2 linked regions of the Saccharomyces cerevisiae S288C genome follow. The main gene of each other region encodes a partner of the protein of the gene in region 2 in a complex. Each region holds a gene or a part of one and is shown on either strand. Other genes may lie near its edges. The genes, in order: RPN8 and RPN6. A codon is read from its position in the direction of its gene.

What was found.
Region 1: the proteins of RPN6 (region 2) and RPN8 are in contact, whole or in part, in a cryo-EM structure (PDB 3J47), measured with the Saccharomyces cerevisiae proteins. Residues at the interface, in NP_010186.1 of Saccharomyces cerevisiae: Thr408 (codon at 584), Ala412 (codon at 572), Leu415 (codon at 563), Val416 (codon at 560), Leu419 (codon at 551), Asn420 (codon at 548), Val422 (codon at 542), Val423 (codon at 539), Leu426 (codon at 530), Phe427 (codon at 527), Lys429 (codon at 521), Ala430 (codon at 518); in NP_014904.3 of Saccharomyces cerevisiae: Val275 (codon at 1,026), Ile278 (codon at 1,017), Val282 (codon at 1,005), Arg283 (codon at 1,002), Ile285 (codon at 996), Ile286 (codon at 993), Asp289 (codon at 984), Ile292 (codon at 975), Glu293 (codon at 972), Ile296 (codon at 963), Gln297 (codon at 960), Lys299 (codon at 954), Lys300 (codon at 951).

What each region holds. Positions count from the first base shown.
Region 1 is NC_001147.6:815,084-818,779, forward strand, and holds RPN8 (proteasome regulatory particle lid subunit RPN8), read right to left. Parts: upstream 1,849-3,696; coding exon 832-1,848; downstream 1-831. Other genes in the region: GCD1 (translation initiation factor eIF2B subunit gamma), read left to right, coding at 1-637; GTPase GPN2, read left to right, coding at 2,209-3,252. UniProt on the Saccharomyces cerevisiae protein: Acts as a regulatory subunit of the 26S proteasome which is involved in the ATP-dependent degradation of ubiquitinated proteins.
Region 2 is NC_001136.10:284,891-288,621, forward strand, and holds RPN6 (proteasome regulatory particle lid subunit RPN6), read right to left. Parts: upstream 1,806-3,731; coding exon 501-1,805; downstream 1-500. Other genes in the region: U4/U6-U5 snRNP complex subunit SNU23, read right to left, coding at 1-275; dolichyl-phosphate-mannose-protein mannosyltransferase PMT1, read left to right, coding at 2,169-3,731. UniProt on the Saccharomyces cerevisiae protein: Component of the lid subcomplex of the 26S proteasome, a multiprotein complex involved in the ATP-dependent degradation of ubiquitinated proteins. In the complex, RPN6 is required for proteasome assembly.

The sequences.
Region 1 (3,696 bases), on a different chromosome or scaffold from region 2:
ATCTCGTCGTTCGTGGCAACATTCGAAACCGAGGGAACCAATAGGTATTTTTATTTTACCAAACGAAACCTTGTTCATCAGAGCCAATAACTTGAATGCTTACATGGACGCTAATAGATTTGTACTAAAGATAAAATCACAAACGATGTTCACGAAAAATATACAGATTCAATCTGCCGCTATCGGTGCTGATGCCATAGTAGATCCCAAATGCCAAATCTCTGCTCATAGTAATGTCAAGATGTCTGTTCTCGGTACTCAGGCCAATATTGGTTCCAGATGTCGTGTTGCAGGGTCTCTCTTATTTCCTGGAGTCCATCTTGGTGACGAAGTAATCCTGGAAAATTGTATTATTGGACCTATGGCAAAAATCGGTTCAAAGTGTAAACTCAGCAATTGTTATATCGAAGGCCATTATGTTGTGGAGCCTAAAAATAACTTTAAAGGTGAAACACTGGCCAACGTTTATTTGGATGAAGATGAGGAGGACGAGTTAATATATGATGATAGTGTTATTGCTGGAGAAAGTGAAATCGCCGAAGAAACTGACAGTGATGATAGAAGCGATGAAGATTCTGATGATAGTGAATATACCGACGAGTACGAGTACGAAGATGACGGATTATTTGAGCGTTAATATAAACTTATGTATATTCCTTCAGTCTCTTTAATAGAGACCAAGTAAGTAAGTGGACGAGAATAGAGGCGATATTATGCATTTATATTTGAAATTCAACAGAACATAATTATGCTTAAGCAAATTAACATGTTGTATTAATACATAGCGTTTTACACATCTATTTCATATATTATGTTATGTTAATTTTTGAATTAATTTTTCTTGTTCTTTCGTTGGATCAATGGCGCAGTTGCTTCTTTGTCACCACTCTCACTCTCACTGTCATCAGAGACTTTTGATTGTTTGTCCTTTACTCTTTGTTCTTGAATTTTTTTATTTTGAATTTTGTTTTCAATCAAATCATCAAACGCGATAATTGACCTAACCAAATTGCTTATATATATAACCATTAATTCATCATTAGTTTTCACAGTTAAAGCCTTTTGTAAGTTATTTGAAATATTAATTCTGTCATGATTCTCCACATCTATTTCGTCATCATCAGGTGTTCCCAGATTTGGTAAAAGGTTGAAAACATCTTGTAGCTTGCCCAATATAGTGTGGTTTATCGGTAATTCCTTATTAATGACTTTGTCTAAGTACTCGACAACGTCTTTTAGTTTGCTTTGTAATCCTTTCAAAGATTTTAATTGGTTGGTCAACCGGATAGATAAGCCACCTGCTGCTTGATCACGTACGTCTCTCAATAAGTGTTCTACACCAATTTCTTCAGCTTCTTCGGCCTCAATAGTACAAGGCAAATGAAGAAACGTCTTTTCTGTAGACGTACCATCATCCTTAACTTGCTCAATCGCGACATATGCATCTGTTGGTAAACCAACACCTTGTTGTTTGACATCAACAATTAATAATAGCGGATTATTCTGAGTATATTTTTTAAACAGCTCATTAATCTTGAGGTCAGAAGCCCTTAATTTAGGACCACTATGATACCATCCAATGAGTTTTTCCTTGGCATTAATCTTTTTACACATTTCATTCATGTTTTCAATATAATTATGGTCTAAAAACCACACGTCAGAGTTTTTCTCATCTTCTTCAAACGGTAAGGCAAAGGAATTAGTGACTCTGATAGTGGAACTGTTAGCATCACCTAAGATGACACCAACGCATCTTTTGTTTTCTTTTGTCTGCGTACGCTCATAATGATCCAAAGCAGATAGCAAAACTAGTGGTGCAATGGTAACTTTCTCGTGTTGTAGAGACATTGTAATTTGATTTTCCTTTCTTTCTTTCTTTTTTTAAATTCGAAAAATGCCCTCAATCAGTAGCAGTTGTACAGAAAGCCAACGTTACACTATAGATTGCTTAGCTGTTGGCTTCACAATTATTTCATTGTAGATTCTACGTTACGTGCAACTTGAGTAACGATTTGCCACTGAGGTATCCCCGAACTTTAGTAAAATCAAATTTCGTAATAAGTGATTAGGAATATTGCTACTTAAAGTAAGTGATGCTCATTGAAAGATTGCATTGTGAGTCTTCACTACTTACCGTAATAGAATGGTTTGTTTTCATTTGATTGTTGTTGTGTCAATAGTTTTGATTTTCTACTAGAGAGTACAATAATGCCCTTCGCTCAGATTGTTATTGGTCCACCAGGTTCAGGGAAGTCAACCTATTGCAACGGCTGCTCACAGTTCTTCAATGCCATCGGAAGACATTCCCAGGTAGTGAATATGGATCCTGCTAATGATGCCTTACCTTACCCATGCGCTGTGGATATTCGTGATTTTATAACATTAGAGGAGATCATGCAAGAGCAACAGTTAGGCCCTAATGGAGGTTTGATGTATGCTGTTGAATCATTGGATAATTCTATTGATTTGTTCATTTTACAGATCAAGTCACTTGTAGAAGAAGAAAAAGCATATCTTGTATTCGACTGTCCGGGCCAAGTGGAGCTATTTACTCATCACTCATCTTTGTTCAACATCTTTAAAAAAATGGAAAAGGAATTGGACATTAGGTTTTGTGTTGTAAATTTGATTGACTGTTTTTACATGACATCCCCTTCACAATATATCTCGATTTTGTTACTTGCATTGAGGTCTATGTTAATGATGGATCTCCCTCACATCAACGTTTTTTCTAAAATAGATATGCTGAAATCATACGGAGAATTACCCTTTAGATTAGACTATTATACAGAGGTCCAGGATCTGGATTATTTGGAGCCATATATTGAAAAGGAAGGCTCTAGTGTACTGGGAAAGAAATATAGCAAGTTAACTGAAACAATCAAAGAGCTAGTCTCAGATTTCAACTTAGTATCATTTGAGGTTTTGTCCGTGGATGACAAAGAAAGTATGATAAATCTTCAAGGTGTTATAGATAAAGCAAATGGCTACATATTCGGCGCATCCGAAGTTGGTGGTGATACCGTGTGGGCTGAGGCTTCGCGAGAAGGTGCATTAATAGCGAATTACGACATTCAAGACAGGTGGATAGACAATAAAGAGAAGTATGATAAAGAAGAAGAAGAAAAACGTACGGCGTTGTTAAAAGAACAAGAATTGCAAAATAAAGCTGTTGATGTGAATGAAGAAGATGAGTGGGAAAATGCGCTGAAGGAGTGGGAAGAGAAACAAGGAATGGATTTTGTTAGGTAGCGTGTTCAGGTATCTTTTTCTCGTTCAGCCGTGGAACTTAATTCAAAATTGAAAATTGTATACAGAGTATATATGCATATAATTGAAAGCAGCTTACTACGAAATGTTCTTGAATTGCTGGCCGAGTTGCAAATCAGCTGCAAAGGACAGAACCCTATGTCTGAACATGATTGCTTTCGTACCCTGAAAGCCAGCGCTACTAATTAACCAGGTTGACCAGCCTTCACTCATTCGCGGCGACAGCAAAAGCGGAAGAAGAAAAAAATAACCAGCAAACTGTCAATGGGTTTCTAGGAGGAAAAAGAACAAGTTAAAAATGATTAGCACCAACAACGTTGCCTATATCTGTCATTGGGCAGCTGTGCGGGGATTCTAAGGTTTTTGCGCAGATCGTGATATAAAATGTTGTAAAAATGGTTTGCTACTCTATATTGATGAAGTTTT
Region 2 (3,731 bases):
GTGTCTTTGAAGGTTAGGTTACAAATATCGCAGTAAAATCCGAACTTCTTTCCCCTCTTGAAAGACGATAAGCTCTCTGTATTTGCTGTTAGTTTCCTTTTATTTAGGTCTTTTAGCGAGCCCTTGATTAAATGATCGTAATTTGTATATTTGGATTTTAAAGCTTGTAATTCAATCGGTGTTAGCGTAGCCTTTAAGGATCGATCGTCATAGCCGCTTCTAGCCTGCTCAGCATACTCCTCTCTATCCCAAGTTCTTCTGCCAAAATTCGACATTAGCTTTCTCGAATTTTTGTCAGCTAAGGCTTGTAGGAACTTCTGGTTTTGATGAACTTTCGCATCAACTGTTTTCTATTTAGCGGCGCATTCGATTAAACTTCTTCCTTTCTTAGGAGAAAAAAAAGAAAAATCATACTTATGTATTTTCTGCATTTTATAAGTTTATTTAGGAATTCTTACTCTGGTACTTGTGAGTATACATACATATATATACATGTAAACCTAATACAAGACACTTGCCTTTTCAAATAGTTGATCGACGACTTTATTTAGTTGCCCGACTAATTCCAATGCAGAGTCGTACGTGGCATCCTGATTCGGAGTTTCGTAAACGTAAAGCCAACCATTACCTTGATCCAGAACACCGTAGAATATCTTATCTAGTATCATTTGGGAGAGCTTTCCTTCAACTTGTTGAGTATCCAGACCGATTATTTTGGAAATGTGGGATATTTCCACACATTCAAATGGCTCAATAATCTTACACAAATTGGACTCTAATAACGTGTCGTATAATGCATTGAAATGGGATCTTGTTAGTTCATCGCCCATTAGTTCCTTCTCGTATTGCTTTAGCGCCGTGTTGAAGTCTAAAAGCGATCTGTTGTTATAAGCCTCAGCGACAGCTTTCATGGCATCAATGCCTCGGGACTGGTACGTTTCCTTTGTGTATTTTGCGTTTAGGATGTTTTTTACGTCATCAATAAGGTTCAGCATGATCTTAGACAATAGCATGTATTTCAACACTTGACATGCCTTTTCGTAGGAATTATGCGTAGTCAAATTGTGGTAGCTTTCAAAACTTTCGAAGAAATACGAAAATGCAGTTTTGTAGTCTTTATCTTCACAGTGCAGGATACCACTCATCAAGTCCAGCTCCGCAACTGTTTGTGTAGGACAGTATATGGAGTTAGCGGCCGTCCTTGCTGCAGTCAACGAGGCCTTGGACTTGGCTAGATTCCTCAGTTTATGGTAAACTTTACTTTCCAATAGATGTACATCAACCAAAGAGGGCTTGTCGTCCAGCTTTTTGAACTCCCTCAAAAGATCGTTAATCAATGCTAATGAGTCCTTGTACTGTTTCTTTTGATAATGTAAGGTGGCCAATTTGATCGAGAGTGAATGCTTCAAAAACACCCTTTTTTCTCTCTTGGCAAATTCGATGCTTTTCTCGCACACAAAGATCTGATCGTCCAAGGAGTCCGGCACTTGCTCGAATTTTTCAATCAACGTTTTCAATACCTTTACCGTTTTGGATTTGGCAAATTGCATCATATACTCCGTAGAATGAGGAATAAACTCGCGCAATTTGTCCTTTGCACCCATAGTCACGTATAACTGTCCTAATTCCAATATGCTTGTCTCCTGTTCATTTCTACGCTTGTCATCCACACTGGCACCGGCAGCGGCGCTGCTCTGTGAGCTGTCTTTATCCAGCAGGCTCAAATAGACTTGTTCTGCCTCATTATACTGTTTTTCATTAACCAGTCTCCTGGCCTCTTCTAATTTCGAACCTGGCAGAGACATGAAGTTCCTCGTTTATAGATTAATCACCAATTGTCCTCTTTCAGCGCTTCTGTTAGTTGGCCTTATTTAACGGATCTTTGCTTCAATTACGCTTTCTACCAACATTTGCCACCCTTGGAACCAGAAGAGAATATACATCATTCGGGGTTGCCCTGCCCATTTATATCGTATATTGTGATGATATACCTTTTTTTTTTTTTTCGCTGCGTTTTTTTTCTCGACACGTGTCGAAGAAGAGTTTGGCGTTTCTAAGCAGATCTTGATTATTTTCGAGCAGCAAAACAAGACAAACAGGTGCATTGTTAAAGCGAGGTAGTATCAGAAGAGCCTATCAAGAAACAGCTAACAGCTACAAGCACGGTCATGTCGGAAGAGAAAACGTACAAACGTGTAGAGCAGGATGATCCCGTGCCCGAACTGGATATCAAGCAGGGCCCCGTAAGACCCTTTATTGTTACCGATCCGAGTGCCGAATTGGCCTCGTTACGAACCATGGTCACTCTTAAAGAGAAGCTGTTAGTGGCCTGTCTTGCTGTCTTTACAGCGGTCATTAGATTGCATGGCTTGGCATGGCCTGACAGCGTGGTGTTTGATGAAGTACATTTCGGTGGGTTTGCCTCGCAATACATTAGGGGGACTTACTTCATGGATGTGCATCCTCCTCTTGCAAAGATGTTGTATGCTGGTGTGGCATCGCTTGGTGGGTTCCAGGGTGATTTTGACTTCGAAAATATTGGTGACAGCTTTCCATCTACGACGCCATACGTGTTGATGAGATTTTTCTCTGCTTCTTTGGGGGCTCTTACTGTTATTTTGATGTACATGACTTTACGTTATTCTGGTGTTCGTATGTGGGTTGCTTTGATGAGCGCTATCTGCTTTGCCGTTGAAAACTCGTACGTCACTATTTCTCGTTACATTCTGTTGGACGCCCCATTGATGTTTTTCATTGCAGCTGCAGTCTACTCTTTCAAGAAATACGAAATGTACCCTGCCAACTCGCTCAATGCTTACAAGTCCTTGCTTGCTACTGGTATTGCTCTTGGTATGGCATCTTCATCCAAATGGGTTGGTCTTTTCACGGTTACATGGGTGGGTCTTTTATGTATCTGGAGACTATGGTTCATGATTGGGGATTTGACTAAGTCTTCCAAGTCCATCTTCAAAGTAGCATTTGCCAAATTGGCCTTCTTGTTGGGTGTGCCTTTTGCCCTTTATCTGGTCTTCTTTTATATCCACTTCCAATCATTAACTTTGGACGGGGATGGCGCAAGCTTCTTTTCGCCTGAATTTAGATCTACACTAAAGAACAATAAGATCCCCCAAAATGTCGTTGCTGATGTCGGCATTGGCTCCATTATCAGCTTGCGTCATCTCTCTACCATGGGCGGTTATTTGCATTCTCATTCACACAATTATCCAGCTGGTTCGGAACAACAACAAAGCACTTTATATCCTCACATGGATGCCAATAACGATTGGTTGTTGGAACTTTACAACGCACCCGGCGAATCTTTAACAACATTCCAAAACCTAACCGATGGTACCAAGGTCAGACTATTCCACACTGTTACAAGATGTAGATTACACTCTCATGACCATAAGCCACCCGTTTCAGAAAGCAGCGACTGGCAGAAGGAGGTTTCTTGTTATGGTTACAGCGGATTCGACGGTGATGCTAATGATGACTGGGTTGTTGAGATTGATAAAAAGAATTCTGCTCCTGGAGTTGCCCAAGAACGGGTCATAGCTTTGGACACAAAGTTTAGATTGAGACATGCTATGACAGGCTGTTATTTGTTTTCCCACGAAGTCAAGTTGCCAGCTTGGGGGTTCGAACAACAAGAAGTTACCTGTGCCTCCTCCGGTAGACATGATTTAACATTGTGGTACGTTGAGAACAACAGTAACCCATTGTTACCAGAA